Linked DNA regions of Mus musculus. The protein of the gene in region 3 purifies or fractionates together with the protein of the main gene of each other region. This does not show direct contact. Links are inferred from orthologs where the notes say so. Each region holds a gene or a part of one and is shown on either strand. Other genes may lie near its edges.

Region 1 (5,179 bases), on a different chromosome or scaffold from region 3:
AGTGGCAAATGTTTAGTCATTTCTGAAACCCTGAGTGAATGGGGAAGGCTGGCTTCTGAGGGAGGGGACACAGGGGCTGTGACACACCTTTTTCCTTAGTTTCATTTCTGAAACCCTGAGTGAATGGGGAAGGCTGGCTTCTGAGGGAGGGGACACAGGGGCTGTGACACACCTTTTTCCTTAGTTTCATTTCTGAAACCCTGAGTGAATGGGGAAGGCTGGCTTCTGAGGGAGGGGACACAGGGGCTGTGACACACCTTTTTCCTTAGTTTCATTTCTGAAACCCTGAGTGAATGGGGAAGGCTGGCTTCTGAGGGAGGGGACACAGGGGCTGTGACACACCTTTTTCCTTAGTAGGGTTACTAGTGTGCTGCTCCATCTTGACAGCAACAGGTCTGGTGCCTGGGAAAGAATAATAGGGTCACATGGTCAAACAACAGTGTCTTCTTTCCTAAGCACTCCCCTGAAAGCCCGAAGTGTAACAGTATATAACAGTGTATACACTATCTCATAGAGGTGTCTGGTTTTAAATGTAAAATTTTTAAGTTTTAATTATGTGAATATGTACATATATGAGTAGATCTCCCTTGAGTGAGAGGTGACTGTGAGCAGCCAGACATCAGTTCAAGGAATTGTGCTGAGGTTCTCTGCAAGAGCAATATACCCTCTAAGCCCACTGAGCCTTCCCTCCAGGCTGCCTCCCTTATGTGGTCCAGGGAGACTGAAGCCACTGAAAATCGCTATCCTCTTGACTCAGCCTCTGGAGTTTATTACAGGGGTGTGCTACCACACCAAACAAACAACTGTTCTGAAATTGTTAATTTTTCTCCAATTCCCTTCGGCAGTTTTTGTTAGTGCCTTTTCACTGCAGAAGACAAAGCATACCAAATACGAACTTTAAATCTATCACAAACATGTCATGACTCTTTGAGACTTCTGTTTAATTACTAGCCTTATTTTTTTTGTTGTTTTGTTTTGTCTTTTTCCTATATGGGGTGATCTGGCAAGAGGCTTGTCTCCAGTTTGAGATCAGCCTGGTCTTTACGACGAGTTTTAGGCCAGCCTTAGAACTCTGGTAAAGATAATACGGTAATTAAAAAAACAAAAACTCTAGTTTCTTTTGTCACTAACCAGTGACCAGGCTGGGGGGGAGGGGGCGAAGAAGACTCATAATACTGCAAGAAACACGACTTAGGATATTCGGGGGAAATGTGAGCGATCCTCCTTTATGTCTTTTTGCCTTAGACTCAACGTATTTTTCTAAGAAGTAAGACATTAGGACAGGAGAGATAGCTCAACAGTTAAGAGCAATAGATGGTCCCGCAGACAGGGTTACTTCCTAGCACCCACGTGGCGGTTCACAATCAATTCCAGTTCCAGAGGATCAGACTCCCGCTTGATCGCCTCTCACAAGTGGTGCACCTACATACGCACAGGCAAAACAACCATACACATAAAATAAAAAATAGGTACATCTAAAGAACAAGAATTTTCCTTCCTTTTCTTTAAAAAAGAAAACCAGCGCGTCTAGAGCAGTAAACCACAACTCCCAGCATGCTCCGGGGAGGCGGGGAGCCGAGTCGTTGCCTCCCCGCCCCGTAGGACAACTTCCACTTTTACACTGCCTCAATCTCTCGGGCCACGACGGGTATTTCTGGCTCCTCTACTCCTCCCTACCGCTAAGGCTGAAATAAAAAGTAGAGAACTATCATGCCTTCCTTGGCCTTCACGGTCGGACGAGAACCGATGGACAAAACAGAGCTTCATGATCTTACCTACAGCATTAATCCAAAGCCTCCACCCCAGCACCCACCCTCTAGTGGGTACTCATGCGCTGTAGCGAGCCAGCTAACTGCCCGTGCTTTGGCGCTTGCGCAGACATTCTGGCCGCACGCGGCCGGGAGCGGCCACGCCAGTGCGCAAGCGCTTGCGTCTCCCAGTCCCCTACATCATGCCCTCTCTATCTAACTTGCCTTGCCTTTCTTGCGTAGAGGGCGGGGCTAATACTGTCGATTGGCCTATGTTTTTGTCAATCAATAAAATGAGTTTGGTGATTGGCGGCACTTCAGAGGTTAGCAGGTTTCTGTGTCATTCCTGAGGAGGCAGCGTTTTCTTCGCTGCTCTTCTCTCCAGAAGGTTCTGCCGATTCCCCCCAGCTCTGGAGAGTCGGCTCTGCGTCGTGCCGCCATGATGGGCCACCGTCCAGTGCTCGTGCTCAGTGAGTTCAGGGAAGGGATGTCTCTCTCCGCCCCTCTCTCCCCAAGCTGGCCAGTGTTGCCCAGCTCCGTCCCGCCATGACTCGGCCCTCGTGCCTTCCAGTGGTCTTTTCGCCTTGGACCAAGCTCCTTCCCCACTTTTCTTCTCTTGCCTCTCCTGTCGCCTTCTTTTGACAAAATGACTTTCCGCTCTCGGAGTCGCTAGTCTTTACGTGTGCTTCATCCTATTCGCGTTCGGTTCTTTAGTCGCCACCCTCCACGCCCCCGTGTCCTTTACAGCATGATTTCCGTGTAGATAGTAATGATGGTTCTTAACGGTAGGCCTTGCTTCCTATGCTCGGTCCATCCCTCCGTAGAGGCGTGACTTAACGGCAACTCGCTTGATTGATACTTTAGCATCAGTATTTAGGAGGCTGTAGTAGAGTTGTTAAGTTGATAAGTAAAAGCTGCCTTTACCGGCAGATCGAATCGGAAGTGGCATCTTTTCAGTAGCGGTCATTCAGCAACCCTTGTTCGGAAATGACATTCCTGGCGTTCCCGATCTTGGATGTGATCTTTCCCACCAGCCAGTTCTCCCAAATTCCTTTCCTGGTTTTCTTTCCTCTTTAGGGAACGCCACTCATCTCAGTAAAGAGCACCAGTTCCTTGTCAGTTACCTGAGCTATTGAGAATAACTCAGTAAGCCTGGGTCAAAGTTAAACATAGTAAAGAGAAAAACAGATTTAGTCTGGCCACACTGGGAGGAGAGACAAAGGTGTTCAGTGACACTACCTCTCCTACACACTCGTAGACGAGTCCATGAGGTTTTAAGCAGCAGGCCAGATTTGTAAGAAGTCATTATTTTCTGCTCTAGTCTCCTGAGAGAAGTTTACCTACAGGGTGGCTCTCAGGCTTTAGTCTTTTTCCTGTTCTATCGTGAGATTCCTTGGCTTGTGATTGATATTTTGTTTGTTTTCGTCTGTGTATGGCACCAAGATTCCCTGGAATTGGAGTTACAGGCAGTTGTGAGCCACCTTGAGGGGCTGGGAATTGAAGCTGAACCATCTTTCCAGCCTCACAAGCAGACTTTCTTGGTCACTAATCTTTGAGACTCTGTGGCTCCTCTTCCCGGGGATGTTGTAAGGGGTGTGCAGTCTTGTGAAAAATCACTGTCCTACTGAGGCCCATTCAGGGCACTCAAGATATGAATCACTGGAAATATGTAAGCATGCATACAAGGAAAGTACTGGTCAAGACTATGAAGTTGAAGCATTTCAGGTTATCTCTTATTATACCGGGGGTTCTCTCATTATCTGTGTTTTTTGCCTGCCTCTATGTCTGTGCCTGCAGACACCAGAAAAGGACATCAGATCCCCTGGAACTGTAGTTAGAGATGATTGTGAGCTACCATGTTGGTGCTGGAAATGAATGCAGAGATCTCTGCAAGAGCTTCCAAAGGTTTTAACTACCAGGCCATCTCACTTCGTAACTGGCTAGCCTGGAACTAACTCACTTTATAAACCAAGTTGGTTGGTGTTCAAGTCACAGAAATCCATCTGCATCAGTGCTCGGATTAAAGGCATATGCTACCACGCTCAACCTTAAACAGTTGTAATTGACTGCTGGTTATACACTGAAAACTTTGTATTTATTTTTATTTTCAAAACTTGATGAATAGGGTTGGTGGTAGGATGGCTCAACAGGTTTAAAAAAAAAAAAAAAGCTCCTGACACTAAGCCTAATAATAACTGGAGGTCTTTTTGTTGTTGCTATTTTTGTTTGTTTGTTTGTTTGTTTGTTTGTTTCATTTGAGGCAGGTTCTCTATATATATGCCAAGTCACAGAGATACTCCTGACTCTGCCGTAAGTGCTGGGGTCAAAGGCATGCACCACCCTACCTGACTTGGATGACCAAGTTTGATCCCTGGCACCCATGTGATAGAAAGAAAATTAACTCTGAAAGTTGTTTTCTGACCTCACAGTTTTGCCAAGCATTTGTACACCTGATATATACATTAAAATGTAGCATTTTTTTTAAGTTAGGAAATAAAATGATTGTGTACACTGGGCTGTTGACATGTGTTTTTGTCTGTTTTAGGTCAGAACACAAAGCGTGAATCTGGAAGAAAAGTTCAGTCTGGAAATATCAATGCTGCAAAGGTAGTGCATGTTTTATGAGATAACAGCAGTTTGTTCTGGCTGACTCTCCTAATACTTCCTTATTGGTAGTAGCAAACTTCCTATGGTTCTGTACTTCATACAATGAGCAGAGGAAAACTTGCTTTTTTTTTCCAAGGCATTTCCCTGGTGGTGATACAGGAAGGGAGGTTTTTAAAAGATTTGCTTGTTTTACTTTACTGTTGGAGTGTTTTGCCTCCATGCATGTATGTATGTGTGTACATGGCATGGAAGCATAGAGGAGGTGGTCAGATCCCCCTGAAACCGGAGCTACAGGCCATTGTGAAAGTTCCCGTATCAGTGCTAGGACTTTAATCTAGGTCCTCTGAAAGAGCCCTGTCCCCTCTTGTTTGGGTAGCCTAGAATTTACTGCGTATAGTAGGTTGTCCTTGAACTCATGGATCTACTTGCCTCTGTCTCCCAAATCCTGGGGCTAAAATCATGTGCCACCACTCTGAGCTCAGTAAGTATATTTTTGAGTGAATGATTAGAAGTCTTGATTTCATGTGGACCAGAGGCCACTGTCAATAAAAGTATTAATGCTGAACTCTTAGGACACTAAAACTGAAATAGCTTCTGAAAATTTATTTGTTGTGTCTAAAATAGTTACCATTCTCGTCGTTAAGTGCCATTGTTAAACAGTGGCACTGGCTGGAGAGATGGCTGAATAGTTAAGAACACTTGCTACTCTTTTTTGTTTGTTTGTTTGTTTGTTTGTTTGTTTTTTTCAAGACAGGATTTCTCTGTGTGGCTCTGGCTGTCCTGGAACTCAGTCTGTAAAACAGGCTGGCCTCGAACTCAGAAAT
Region 2 (5,149 bases), on a different chromosome or scaffold from region 3:
CCAACACAGAAACTTCTTCTGTGAACAGACCTGTCAGACCAGGTTGGAAAAAGTATCTGAACTGATTTACTGTAGCACAGAGGAGAGAATGGACTGTCAGAGGACGTGTGCTCGGCCTCCAGAGCCCTGCTGATACTGACAGAGGACCCCGGCCGGCCGTGCGGAAGACTTACGATTTAATGATGTTCCCCAGAGTGTGGTCTTCTTTGTTGATGGTGAACAAGCAGGCGTTGGGAACCTTAGTGTCCTTGTTAATGGTGATTCTGGAAGAGACGGCGGGAAGAGCTCAAGCCCACATCCAGCCTCGGGCGTGATACTGGCCCTCAGCCAGCCATGTGCCCTGGGGGTCACCATGTCCCCATCTGTGGTCAAATATTCTTGAAACTGCAGTTGGGCTGTTCCCACTACCTCAGAAATAAGGTACCTGGCCCTTCCCCACTGATGAACAGTTCCCTAAACTAGCTCTTGACTAAATTTTTACTTACAGGACATGAACCAACTAGTTGTAGTAGCATACGCCTTTGATCCCAGCATCTAGAAGGCAGAGGCAGGTAGATCTTTGAGTTTGAGGCCAGCCTGGGCCACACAGAAAACCCGTCTTGGAGTGGGTACAGGGGAGAGACCAGGAGACACTTAACCCCCAAGGCCCCTCACAATCAAGGTAGGCCCAGGTCTATCATTCTGCAAGCCCTACTATCTATCCCCAATGGCTACTGGAGTTGCACCTTGGGTTTTGAGCGTGCTAAGCAAAGCCCTCAACCACTGAGCTACAGGTCTAGCCCTGGGAGGCCTTTTTCAGTCTACTCACCAGTAAAGGACTCAGAGCTCTGGCATGGTTCAGTGGCCAACCATTAACCTCCCATGTGTAAGTCTCTGGGTCTCATCTCCACCACTCCCACCGTCCAAACAATAAACAAGGTAGGCCTGCCTGGTAGTTCAGACCAGTAATCCCAGCAATTTGGGAGGCTGAGGCAGGAGGATAGAGAAACACCTCAGCCATCACCCTGGCCTTTCTCTTTGCTTAAGGTAGAATCTCATTTGCCAATGGACACACTGTGCTTGTCTCCACTTCCCATGCCCCTGGAGAAACACTGGAAGCAGAACTCAGATCTACACACAAGTCCTCAGCATGACAATCAATCAATCAATAAATGCTAACAAGGAACCGCCTCTCCCCTGTGATGGCCTCCTATTTATATACCAGGGAGCATGGACTTAGCAGTCCTTGTTTTTGTTTGTTTTTTTTGAGACTACATTTCTTCGTACTTGATCTGTAGACCAGGCTGGCCTTGATCCCCCTGCCTCTGCCTCCCAAGTGCTGGGATTAAAGGTGGATTAAAATCCACCGCTCAGTTAAGGATTGCTCCTTTTTTCAAACTCGGTACACAAATATTTTCTTACTTTGTCCACGCCTGTCTGAGATAAGAGGACAACCTGTAATTGTCAGGTCTCTCCTGGTACCATAGTGGTCCCAGGGACTGAACTCAAGTCATCAGGCTTGCCTGCGGGTGCCTGCGCTCAAGCCATGTTGCCAGCCCAGAACATGGATGTTTTGGACCTGATTGTCCTTTTCTGGGAGCCTGTCTACTGCACCAAGGGTTGTTATCAGCATCCCTTGCTGCTATCCACCCGCTGCCAATACCAACGTGCCTGGGACAACCAGAACCTTTTCCAGATGGCCAAATGCTCTTGCTCATGGGACAACAACCGGGCTCTCAGTTGAGAATATGCCCCCAAGGAAGGCTGAAGTAGCTATCAAATGTCAATCACAAAACCCTGCCTCTTAGGAATGAGCAGTGTCGGCTACAGGTCTGCAGTGTACACTGTACTGGCAAACTCGGAGGATCTTGAAGAACTTCATTATTTATTGACTGATTGATACAGGGATGAAATGAGCCCCGTGCATGCTAGGTAAGCAATCTACCACTGGGGTATACCTCTGAGAGGCCAAATCTACTCCATCTTGGGACCTGCTACCTCCATCTTAAAGAAAAAAAAAAAAGCCGGGCGTGGTGGTGCATGCCTTTAATCCCAGCACTCTGGAGGCATTGGCAGGCGGATTTCTGGGTTTGAGGCCAGCCTGGTCTACAAAGTGAGTTCCAGGACAGCCAGGGCTATACAGAGAAACCCTGTCTTGAACCCCCCCCCCCCCCCGCAAAAAAAGCCTGAGAACTTGACCTACAGCAGAACCCAAGATGCAACCAAGTACCAGGAAGGACCTCACGGCTTGTCCCTTGGCCCATACCCCAGAGTTACTCCCTAGCAACAGTTAATCAAAGATTAGTCTGGTTGCTTCAGATCTACTTTCAGATAGTTTGTGATTGTTCATCTCCCTTCACAGCACCACCTGTCAGCTTACAACAGACATTCAGTTAGATACCTGCCAAGCTCCATACCCCGTCACTCCCACTCCCTAGAAAACCTTGTCCTGGGTTCAAGGCTGCTCTGCCTTCTCTTCCTGTCCTGTTGTGTCAGGGTTGGGTTGGAGGAGAGCCCAAGCCCGAGCTTGTGATAAAGAGACCCTAATGGAAACGGCTCCTTAATGATCTTTTGGGGTTCACAAACGATTCCTAGCACACCTCCATACCTTTTTCCCACTGAGATAGAGACTAAGCTGACTTCCAAGAAGGGGCACACACACGAGAGAAGGGTTACACAAGAGAGAAGGGTTCGTAGCAAACTTTGAGTCATCAAAAGAGTGTATTTGGCTACCATTAAGACAATTACATAAAGCCAGAGCCGGTGGCTCAGGCCGTTAATCCCAGGTAGAAGCAGGTGGATCGCTGAGTTTGAGGCTAGTCTGGTCTGCAAAGCTCGTTCCAAGACAGTCAAGGAGGATACACAGAGAAACCCTACCTCCAAAAGACAATTAGATGCTTAATCTCTAAACCTGTAGCCACTCGAGTGCAAAGTACTTCCCCCTGCTCTCTGAATGCACACAGACCCAACTTGCGTCTGTCTTACTTTCTTAGCGCTCTCTTCCTCTGAACCCTCCTGCTTAAGCCCATATTAAAGTATCTTTAATTAAAAACCCACCAATCCTGCTTCACTAAACCGAAGAGTCCTGAAATTCTTTTTAGCGTGGAGCCACGAACCCGGGTTTGGCCTAAGTCGGGATCCCTGAAAATCTAGGAGAAACCCTCAGGTTGCTGAGGAGTGTAAGAGAGCTGTGTCTCTGTCCCTTCACAGCTGTCATCATGAACCAAGTGTCTGGAGCAAGACACTCCATGTCCCAGAGCCTCCGATTTCCCACTGCAAAATGCATGCACGCGCCAGTGCTTCGCGCCGCTGCCTGAAGCTGGGCAGACTCGCATTGAGCAGCACGGAAGACTCAAAGCAAAGCCCGCCTCCCGCCTCGGTTTCCCCAGACAGGAGCAGTGCGGCGCTCCAGCGGAGCTGACGGCCGGCAGGCTCCTATGCAACCGTCCCCGCCTCCGCCGGCCTCCACTTACTTCTTCTCGCCCTCGAAGAGCAAGAACGACTCGAAGGCCGGAGGAGCGTTCATCCTAGCGCCGCGCTCTCGCTCCCCGACACCAACCCACAGTCTCCTTCCGCCAACAGAGCCCCGAAGCGCGACCACTTCCGGATTTCTCAGCCGCAGCCAATCAGTGTAAGCACCTGGCCCCCGCCCCCTAGCGGCTCGGATGACCTAATGCAGGCGCAGGCAAGGCTGAGGGCGAGCCGTGCGCATGCGTCAGTTTAGAACCCTTGTTCGAGGCGTCCATGCTGAGTGTTTTGGCGCGTGCTCCCGCGCCCGGAGTTGAGCCACCTGTAGCTGGCTCCCCGGTACCGACTGAATGGGACTAAGAGTCTAAGTGGGCTGCTGCTGCAGGACCCCCGGGTGGGCCGACACTGGCGGACTTATGAGGCCTTCTAGATGAGGACCAGTGGAGCAAGAAGGGATGTAAAGGTTGGGGAGGAGCTTGGGGTACCAGCGCATCTTCTCTTGAGCACACAGGTAACTAAAAACACGATGAAAGCTTTGCACCTCGCCATTTTTCAGCGGTCTCTGTAGCAATCTTTTATTTTTCCTATTTTTAAAGATTTTTATTTGCATATCTTGTATGGGCACGTATATGCAGGTGCCTTTGGAGACCAGAAGAGGGTTGGGTCACCTGGAGCTGGAGTTACAGGTGGTTGTGAGCCCCCCCTGCCCCAGTGGGTGCTGGGAACCGAACTCCAGTCCCCTGCAGGAGCAGTAAGACCCTTAACTGCTGAGCCATTTCTCCAGCCTCCCTGATGGCTCATCTTGTCAACCGGATGAAATTTAGAATCATCCTAGAAACAAACCCCTAGGAGGGGCCAGCAAGACAGCCCAGTGGGCAAGGGGGAGTGTGACCAAATCTGATTACCTAAATTCAGTCCCCAGAACCCACGTGGTGGTAGAGAACAGACTTCTCCGACCTCCCTTCACGGTATGCATTTACACATGTGTGCACTCACAATAGAGAATAATAATCATAACCATAATAAAGAACGTTTGGTTGTCTTTGGGATTCTAGACAGATTTGACTGAGGAAGACAGACGTGTATGGCATCATCCTAGAGGCTCAGGAGTCAGACTACAGCTTCCTGGCGCAGATGCAGTGTGCTTGGCTGCCTGGGAATCCTGTTGCTATGACATCTGCATTGTATACCCTTCCTTAAGATGCTTCTGGTTGGTTGTTTTTTTGTTTTTTTTTTTTGGGGGGGGGGTTCGAGACAGGGTTTCTCTGTGTAGCCCTGGCTGTCCTGGAGCTCACTTTGTAGACCAGGCTGGCCTCAAACTCAGAAATCCGACTGCCTCTGCCTCCCGAGTGCTGGGATTAAAGGCATGGACCACCACGCCTGGCTGCTTCTGGTTGTTGTTGTCTTGGTTTTGTTTGTTTTTCAAGACAAGTGTTTCTCTGTGCAACCCTGGCAGTCCTGAAACTTGCTCTGTAGATCAAGCTGGCATCGAACTCAGAAAGCTGCCTGCCTCCATCTCCAAGAGTGCTGGCATTAAAGGCGTAAGCCAGCAGCACCAGGACTTCTGTTCAGTTTTCAGACACAACAACAAGAACAGTAACTAATACAGACTCAGTCTCCCAAGCGTTGGAGCCACAGGCATGAGCCATCCTGTCCATTGGTATCTGAGTGCTGAAGCACCACTGGGTGATGGAAGTGTCAC
Region 3 (4,540 bases):
GGGTACCTGAAGTCCTCTTCTGACGTCAGCATGGATGTGCATGCCTACACACACACACACACACACACACACACACAAACACACACGTGCACACACACACGGGATAAATCAGGATACCTGAAGTCCTCTTCTGACGTCAGCATGGATGTGCATGCCTACACTCACACACACACACACACACACGCACACGGGAGAGGAAGGGTGAGGATTTGAGACAGACAGACAGACAGACAGAAAGAGAAGCGGCTAGTAGTTTACAGCAATGTACATGTTAAGAAAAATGATGCTCATTTCTGAAAAAAAAACATGTGGACTGATGCTACATGTTATCATATGCTCAGTATTTGTAAAGTTTCCATGATCTTTAGCAAATGACACCAAACACCATCCTAGACACATGGCACATAAAATCCAGAGGATGAAAAGGGAGGATGGGAGAGGAGTATTGTGGCGTTGGCTTCGCTGTCCCAAGAATTAGTGCTGAAGGGCTAATGGGGGCTTCCTTATGCCCTCATTCAGAGAGCACTGAACACCAACCGGATTCTGTAGCTAGGACTACAAGAGGCTCATGGACATGTTTGTTCCTGTAGCCTTCACAAAACGATGTATCCCTTGTATTTGAGAGGTTAGCACAGTACCAACCTGGCACTAGCAGAGATGGGAGAGCTTTTGGGATTGTGAGTGGGAAGATTAAAGATGTCTTTGTAGCCTAGTGTGACCTAAAATTCACTGTGTAGCCTTGCCTGACCTGGAACTCACAACTGCATTTCTGCTTCCATATCTGGAGTGCTGGGGCTACAGGAGTGAGCCACTACATGGGGTTCAAGATGGCAGCATTTCCCCTCTTCTTCCCTCTCCTGTAATCACATGGTCTTTCAGTTTTAGACCAGTTTGAATCATGTCTGATTTGAGCAACCAAGTGAGAAACCTTGTCTCCGAAACTGGAGAGCTAGCTCTGAGGTCACTGACTGCTCTACAGTGAGCCTGGCTTGGACTCCCAGCACACACATGGCAACTACCAGTTCCAGGGGTGCCCATAGCCTTTTCTAGCTTTTGTGGGTACTGCATGCACCTCCATGAAGGCAAAACACCTATACACATTAAGTAAAAATAAATCAACTCTACCCGCACCTAGACAGTGATCTAGGAGCTCAGAGCCAAGGCTACATAGTAAGACCCTGTCTCAAAACAAAAACTACCTTTCTTTGGACAGTGATATACTTTTAAAATCATACAAAATTGACTAAAGGAAGTATAATTTTTATAGAAAATGTTTTAATTGCTTTTATGTATAATGTATTTATAACCCCCTACAGCTAAGCTGTCAACATTGTGATTATAAATAACTGTTTCCATAAGTAAAGAATCCTTCTCTCCTTTCTGTCCAGATTGAAAAGGCCAAGCCCATTAAATGTGGAACATTTGGTGCCGCATCTCTGCAGCAGAGATTCTTAGCTACTGGAGATTTTGGTGGAAATCTTCATATATGGTGAGATTATTAAATAGTACTGCAATGGATAAGCACTCCCTTTGATGGGCTTATTAGTCTTCTAAAAGAGAATTCTAATTTTAAAATACTTACTTCAAATATTTTAATTAAAAGTAACCGAAGCCATGAGGACTGTGTTATATCTCTGTCATATTTAAAGTCCACTTAAAATCCTAAGCTTCATATTACATTTAGGAATGTGTATGTATAACATTACATGTAGGTGTACATAGATGCATGTAATAGCAATGAACAAACATGCCGACTGTGAAAGAGTAAGAGGGATCTGTGAAAGGGCTTGGGGGGGGGGGGATACAATTGTATTTGACCTCAAAAGTTAAAGGACAAAGGTTTAAAAAGATGGTTTTTGGTTTAGAACTTGAAACAGTGTTACCGATTCTTACCCCCACACCCCAGGCTGTTTGGGACTGGTAATTGATAGATGCCATTTTAGCAAGAAGTTTGGTTTTATAGAGCGATACACTGATTTTAATTTTTTCCATGCAAAACTCTCAGTTAAAGTTTTGGTTAGTATTTAATACTTTAAGATCTAGACATGACTTTTAGGAAAATGTCTGTTGAACAATACATAAAAGGCGGCTTTGAATAAATAAATCACAGAATTGTCTGATGCCTTTATATAAATCTTACTTAGAATTATTTCTTAATACTTAAAGTTAAATGAATTCAAATTTCTCTTTAATTACTTTTTAGGAAAATCTATTTTCAGCATTTAAAGTATACAGCAGCTTTCTTTCTTTCTTTCTTTCTTTCTTTCTTTCTTTCTTTCATTCTTTCTTTCTTTTTATCTTTCTCTCTCTTTTTCTTCCTTCCTTCCTTCCTTTCTCTCCTTTCTTTCTCTCCTTCCTTCCTTCCTTCCTTCCTTCCTTCCTTCCTTCCTTCCTTCCTTCCTTAGCTTGTTTCTAATATGAGGTGTTTATTTTGGTGACAGGGTTCATGTGTACTCTGGCTGAACTAAAACTCACTATGTATCCCTACATAGACCAGGCGAGCTTGGAACTCACAAGCCGCCACCTGCCTCTGCCTCCTCATGACGAGAGTCAAGGAGTGTGCCACCACACCCCACCTAAGAAGACCTTTCGGTTGTCAATCGAATTGTACTGCTTTATAGTTAAACCATGTTCATATATTTACCTATTTTTAGAAGCATAACATAAAAGTGAAGCTAGTGTAATTTTCCTTTCTCTAACTGCTTAGCTCTTAAGTTCATATTCATCATTTTACATATTTTGTCGTAGAGCTTCAGAGAAATAAAAAGAGAGGCCAGTGTCTTCCTTTCTGTATTTTATTTATTTTTCATTATTTGGGGGGCTTATCATATAGAGTAGTAGATGTTCATCATTTCAGTTATGTATATGCATATATATGTATCAATATGCTTTGATCTTACTCATTTCCCTCTCCTATTTGCCCTCGTACGCCTGCTCCCTGATTGCTGGTTCTCTCTCTGCCGGATCCAGCTACAATTGATTGCTTGTTTGTTTGTTTATTTGTTTGTTTGTGTGTTTGTTTGTTTGTTTTGAGACAGAGTCTCTCTACATAGCCCTGGCTACCCTGGAGCTCACAGTGAAGATCAAGCTGGCCTGTAACTCACAGATCTCTGTTTGCCCCTCCCTCCCAAGTGCTGAGCTTAAAGACATCCCCCATCCCTCAGACTAGATACATCATTTATCCCATTGCTCACTCCATACCTTCTGACCCCCTTTTAAGGTTTTTGTTGTTGTTGTTGAAATTATTTTCACACTTTATTCCATGTGTGTCTCTCTGTGTGTCTGTGTCTGTGTGTGTGTCCATGTCCATGCACAAGTGGAGAGCACATGTCCCTCTGTCTGTCTGTATCTGTGTCTCTGTGTGTACATGGCCATGAACAAGGATTTGAGAGCGAGCAGAAGACAACTTCTGGGACTCTGTTGTCACTTAACGCCTTGTATGATCTGGGAGTCAGTACAGGTTGTCAGGCTTGGTGACAAGTGCCTTTACCTCCCTGGCCAACCTTTCAGGTTTTATGGTGTATATATACATATATACATGCATATTTATACACATGTGTATGTGTGTATAATCTTAAATTTATTTTCCATGCATAAGAGGAAACATGACTCCTTTTTTCCCCTGTTCTGGCTTATTTGCTTAATATAACAATTACCCGATATCCGCAGCAGGTCTCCAAGGTGAACAGCCTCTGGCATGTTGGAACAATCAGGAGGTGTCAGAAAAGTTACCACAGGGATAACTGGCTTGTGGCAGCCAAGCGTTCATAGCCACGTCACTTTATCATCCTTCAATGTCGGCTCTTCCTATCATGGTGAAGCAGAATTCACCAGGCGTTGGATTGTTCACCCACTAATAGGGAACGTGAGCTGGGTTTAGATCATCGTGAGACAGGTCACCGGGTGGAGGTAGCGCAGGCCTGTAAACCCAGCACTCCGGAGGCAGAGGCAGGTGGACTTCTGAATTTGAGGCCAGCCTGGTCTACAGATTTTGTATTTTTTTTCCATGTGGTTGCTGGGATTTGAACTCAGGACCTTCGGAAGAGCAATCGGTGCTCTTAACCACTAAGCCATCTCTCCAGCCCATCTTAAAATTCCCCCTCCCTCTATCCCTCCCTTTTGACCCATTTTCACTCTTCCACCATACACTTAAAATAAAATAAAACAAAATAGAAAAAATAAACAATTCCCACTTCCGTGTGCTTTCGTAGAAATATCATGATTTCATATTTTGTCTTGGCTGAATAACATGTCATTGTCTATAACCTTATCCATTCCTGTCTTGATGGGTCCATTTCCTGTGCTGTTGAGTCCGTTTCAGAGAATCCTTGCCTGTGCTTCTGGCATCCAGGGTATCACGTGTGTTTTCCTCTAGTGTTTTCAGAGCCTCTGTCTTAGGTTAAAGTCGTCCATTTTGCATTGTTTTTTGTTTTTATTGATTTTAGTTTAGTTGGCTTTAAGGCCATGTGATAAGTAGTTATGTATTTTAGTTTAATTGGTTTGAAGGCCATGTGATAAGCAGTTATGTATTTTAAGGCCA
Region 4 (4,540 bases), on a different chromosome or scaffold from region 3:
AGATCAGTAATGCACCACTGTGTCGAGTCACCCAGTGGCACTGGTCTTTAAGACGGGCTGTTGAGCTGTTCTGGCCAGCTCCCTGCTGCAGGAGCCTGGGCAGGTCAATTTGAGCTTTGGTCTGTCTTTAAGAGAATAGTGTGGGTTCCTGGACACTGATGGGGCCAAGTACAGTTTTACAAGGGATGTCAGGTAGGACTCTGTCTTAGTGCCTTACAGGCCTCTACTCAATAAGGACTTGCTCCTTTTTTTCTCAGGTGGAGGTGCAGAACTTTTGGGGGCTGAGTTCCAAACTCTAGGCTCCTCTAAGAAGTCTTTAGGCCTGGATACAACTAGGGGCTCCCTGCCTCTCCAGGCTTCTATAGAGGACTCTGGACTCTGGGCTTTTTCCAGGTTTTGCCCTGAGTTCCAGAGGCATTACAAGTGACCTGGGTTCAAATCCTGTCTCTGCTTTTTCCAACCAGCTGGAATGTGGTGGTGGTGGTGGTGGGGTTCAACTCTTTCTGGGTCTAATAGTGACAGAATCTTCTGTACTCCTTAGATTTCCACATAGATCCTGACATTTGTTCTGTGGAAGGCAAGAGGCCAGGCCATAACGTTCGGCCACTGCTGTGGTGACTGCTGGTGCCATTGCAGTTATTCACGTTACTAGGAGTTGCAGGGCCTGGGATCTTAATGCTCTAGAAACATTTGCTGGGGAAGAGAGAAGGGTCAGGTCTCGCACTTTACCTAGTGAGTTGTGTCTTTTGTCTTTCCACCTCAGTGAAAGTCATGCCCTTCGCTAATCTCATGAGCCTCCTGGGCCCCTCTGTGGACTCTGTGGCTGTTCTACGTGGCATCCAGAAGGTGGCGATGTTAGTCCAAGGAAACTGGGTGGTAAAGAGGTAAGCTGCTTGGGAGTCTGAATGGAATGCTGTTGGTGTTCTGCCTAGTTGCGTTTTACCTCTTCCAGGACTCTTCCATTTTTTTATACAAATTTGGGAGTTAGTCTCTTAACTCTTTATTGGTTCCCTACAGTTTTGGCATGCTCTGCTGCATGTCAATTGCTTTTTACTTTCTTCCAAGACAGCTCAAAATCTTAGACTATTTTAGCTGTTCACCTCCCACATGTATATTTTAATCGTGTCTATATTTTCAGGCCCACAAGACTTTATGCAGCCAGTGTTCTTAGGCTTACTCACATGTCTGCCTTTTGTATTGTATTTTTATTCCAGTGTACATCTGAATTCCCATCAGGAATCATTTCAATCTTCCCAAAGAGTGCTATAGTATTTAATACAGGTCTGCAGTAATAGCTTTCCTCAGCTTTTAAGTTAGTGATAGTTCTTTCTTCATGCATTGATGTATTTTCTGTGTGTGCGCTTTACATAAATGTATAGGAATATGTGTGTTGAGGCCCAGTGTTGAGGTCAAGTGTCTTTCTTGGTTGCTTTCTCCTTTACGCAGGATTTCTCCCTGAACCTGGAGTTTTCCCCCATCTTCATTAGTTTAGCTGGCCAGTTTGCTGTGGGTATCTAGGGATTACAGGTGGCTGCATGAGTTTTGAGTATATGTCTGTGGGTAGTTGTAGGTGAGTATAGGTGCCCGTGGAGGCCAGAGGAGTCAGGTCCCTCTGGAGTGGGGACTGGGAGACAGACTCGGGTCCTCTGCTAGAGCAGTGCGTGCTCTGGACTGCTGAGCTGTCCTACTGTGGTCCTCACCCTTGGGCAGCAAGTGCTTCATCCTGTGAGCTGTCTCCCCAGCCGCACTCTGTGTTATGACGTCAGTTGTTACTGAAAGCCCACTGTGAACCTGATCCTTGTGCTTTGATCTTTGTCCTCCTCTGGTTGCTTTGAAGCCTTTCTCTTTGTCCTGGCTTTCCACTGTTATGTTAAGAAGTGGCTACGCAGGCAGAGGCAGGCGGATTTCTGAGTTCGAGGCCAGCCTGGTCTACAGGGTGAGTCCCAGGACAGCCAGGGCTACAGAGTGAGTCCCAGGACAGGCAAGGCTACACAGAGAAACAAACAAACAAACAAACAAACAAAAGAAGTGTCTATGTTTGGTTTGCTTTTTATGTTGCCTGTGGGGTTCAGGTCATGATTTTGTGGCTTAGTTTCAGCAGCCTCCTTTCTCCTCTGGTTTCCCATCAGATCATCAGTTCTGAGGGAGTAGAGATAGTCTGTGCTATTATTTCCTTACATTCTTAGATCATTGTATAATGCCTGGAACACACTAAACCAACCCCAGGAAATGCATACTTTAATTATAATGAGGTGGTGTTATAGTTAATACATTAACCCCAGGCTTTGAACAGTGTAGTATGAACAATATAAAATGTGAATAGTTCTAAAATTCAAAACATTCATTTCATTAAGCCCTTCATTTGATTGCCAACCTGATGGTAAAGTGTATTCCTCTTACATGGTGGTGCCATTTACAGGTAAATATATCTTGCTGTTGGATTATCCAGTTTTCTGTATGGAAGAATTTTGTCATGGCACATTGCTTGTTAAATGTGAGGGTGAATACTACTTGTATTTACACTGTAAAACCAGGAAGGGCTGTTGCATCACACACTCCTGAAGACACTAACCAAAAGAGGCCCAGGACTTGTGTATATCTCCCAAGGCACCTACAGAGCCGTGTTTGAGCTCGGAGACTCAGCCTGGCTTCTGCCTGTGCTGTTTTTGTCGTGGGAGGCCTAGCTATTGAAGTATGGCTTATCAGCTTGGGTGTCCTGCATATTGCAAGGATTTCTGTAAGCCTTTTCTTGGGTGTTGAGGCTACTGGGTGTGAGTCATAATCTTTCCAGCCAGATCTATCTTTGTGTTTAAACTCAGCTTGATTCAAATGTCTTACTTAAATGTTCTGTGCTGTGTGTGCCACCATTGAATGTTCTCGCTGTCCTTAAAGTATAGGGGCCCACAACATGTGTCTGTCTAGGTTTAGTTGACAATGGGCTCTTTCTCCATGTGACAGCCAAGAACACTTTGCCAGGTCTATACCCATGGAGTTTAACCTTGGAGTATGAGTTGCTCAGGACTGGCAGGTATGAAGGGAAGATCTCCAGCAGAGGAGCCGTTAAAAGCTGACCCTGGGGCTGTGGCTGGAGGAAGTGTGAGAGTCACATAGTAGGGACTGTCTGTTCGTGTGCCTCCAGGCCTCTACGCTGAGGACCTCTGGGCCCCAGGCACAGTCTTTATTCTTTGATGTTCTAGGGGAGTCAGGTCCAGCCTCTGACAGCTGACACATATCCACTTAGGCAGGCAGGAGAGGCCTTTTAACTGGCTTTAGCACTCGTTTCTCTTACAGCCACAAACATGTGACTTGTGAGGTCAGTCTTCTCAAGAGTCCTGGGCTCCTTGAGGTTCCAGGCTTGTGTGTGTGTCTGTGAGCCCCTAACTCCCCCCTGGGGTCAGGCCAGTCTGTGATGTGTTTGTTGGGAAGGGCTTGCTCTTTCCCATGACTTCCTGGGCCTGCAGACTCAGGCCTGTTGCTATGAAAGGATGCGACCTGGATTGGCTCAGACTGTAAGCCCTGGGCTTCTAAAGTAGGATGTGGGGGTGGTGGGACCATAGACAGGGACTGACCAGCTACGTCTGCTTGTTTGCCAGTGACATCCTGTATCCCAAGGATTCTTCCAGCCCTCACAGTGGCATGCCTGCTGAGGTGCTCTGCAGGGGCCGAGACTTTGTTGTGAGTATCTAGGCTCTGGCCACAGGGTCCAGGGTGGAGGGAGAGAATCCAAAGCAGGCAGTGAGCTCCAGCAGGGAGCTCACTGTGGGACTCCAGCTGGTGCTCTTTTGTCCTCTGGTCATTCTGGGCTGATGAAGACCCTGCTGGCTCAATCTGTGTGTGGGGTTCATGTGGTTAAGTGGTGTATTACAAAGCTCACCTTGGCTGCAGACTTAAGTTGGGTTTTCAGATGTCATGAGTGATTGACAGTCTGATAGCATTGGGTCCAGAGCCCTGCCCAGCCCCTGCTTTGGATGGCTGGCACCAATAGTTTCATATCACTATAGTCTGGCACTTATTCCTTGCTACTTTTCTGGGGTTTATGACTTCTGAGTTAATTCATCCTTCCTTTCTCTCACCCTGCCCTGTTTTATATCCAGAACTTAAGTCCCTCCCAGGGTCTTTAAGCTCAAGTCTCTGGAATCTGTACTACCCTCTAACCCTTGGCATTTACACATTGAATTTGCTGAAATGTGGCTGCTTAGAGCTGTTCATGTGGGCCCTTGTGCCCTGCACAGGCTTGTCCTGAAGGGAAGCAGTCCTTAGATTGTTTGAGGACAGCTGTGTTTGCTCTTCTGACTAGGTATTCTTAGCTTTTGGGGACGTCTGTGTTGAGGGGCCTCCGGAGTCTGACTTGGGGCATAGGAGTGCAGCTCCCAGCCGGCCTCATTCACTCATGCCAAGTGCCCTTTGGCTTTGGCTGCTTTTCTAGTGTTCGCATACCGTTGGGTTGGAGCCCGCAAGTGTATACGAAGTGTTACTATAGACAACAAGTAGCCATCCTTTCCTCTTGGCTCTCAGTGAATACTGAGAATACTTCCCCTCT

Evidence for each region.
Region 1: the proteins of Wdr92 (region 3) and Cct3 purify together in Homo sapiens (affinity purification with mass spectrometry; 3 studies listed by BioGRID and IntAct, counting the BioPlex papers as one, with this or other methods). This does not show direct contact. The link is inferred for Mus musculus from reciprocal best matches to the Homo sapiens genes DNAAF10 and CCT3.
Region 2: the proteins of Wdr92 (region 3) and Polr2j purify together in Homo sapiens (affinity purification with mass spectrometry; 3 studies listed by BioGRID and IntAct, with this or other methods). This does not show direct contact. The link is inferred for Mus musculus from reciprocal best matches to the Homo sapiens genes DNAAF10 and POLR2J.
Region 4: the proteins of Wdr92 (region 3) and Polr3e purify together in Homo sapiens (affinity purification with mass spectrometry; 3 studies listed by BioGRID and IntAct, with this or other methods). This does not show direct contact. The link is inferred for Mus musculus from reciprocal best matches to the Homo sapiens genes DNAAF10 and POLR3E.

The regions. Positions count from the first base shown.
Region 1 is NC_000069.6:88,295,049-88,300,227, forward strand, and holds the start of Cct3 (T-complex protein 1 subunit gamma), read left to right. Parts: upstream 1-2,086; 5' UTR 2,087-2,187; coding exon 2,188-2,218; intron 2,219-4,293; coding exon 4,294-4,355; intron 4,356-5,179. Other genes in the region: Tsacc (TSSK6-activating co-chaperone protein), read right to left, coding at 343-379. UniProt on the Homo sapiens protein: Component of the chaperonin-containing T-complex (TRiC), a molecular chaperone complex that assists the folding of actin, tubulin and other proteins upon ATP hydrolysis.
Region 2 is NC_000071.6:136,115,109-136,120,257, reverse strand, and holds the start of Polr2j (DNA-directed RNA polymerase II subunit RPB11), read right to left. Parts: upstream 3,568-5,149; 5' UTR 3,506-3,567; coding exon 3,453-3,505; intron 264-3,452; coding exon 174-263; intron 1-173. UniProt on the Homo sapiens protein: Core component of RNA polymerase II (Pol II), a DNA-dependent RNA polymerase which synthesizes mRNA precursors and many functional non-coding RNAs using the four ribonucleoside triphosphates as substrates.
Region 3 is NC_000077.6:17,217,626-17,222,165, forward strand, and holds part of Wdr92 (WD repeat-containing protein 92), read left to right. Parts: intron 1-1,388; coding exon 1,389-1,489; intron 1,490-4,540. UniProt on the Homo sapiens protein: Key assembly factor specifically required for the stability of axonemal dynein heavy chains in cytoplasm.
Region 4 is NC_000073.6:120,934,010-120,938,549, forward strand, and holds part of Polr3e (DNA-directed RNA polymerase III subunit RPC5), read left to right. Parts: intron 1-763; coding exon 764-884; intron 885-3,593; coding exon 3,594-3,675; intron 3,676-4,540. UniProt on the Homo sapiens protein: DNA-dependent RNA polymerase catalyzes the transcription of DNA into RNA using the four ribonucleoside triphosphates as substrates.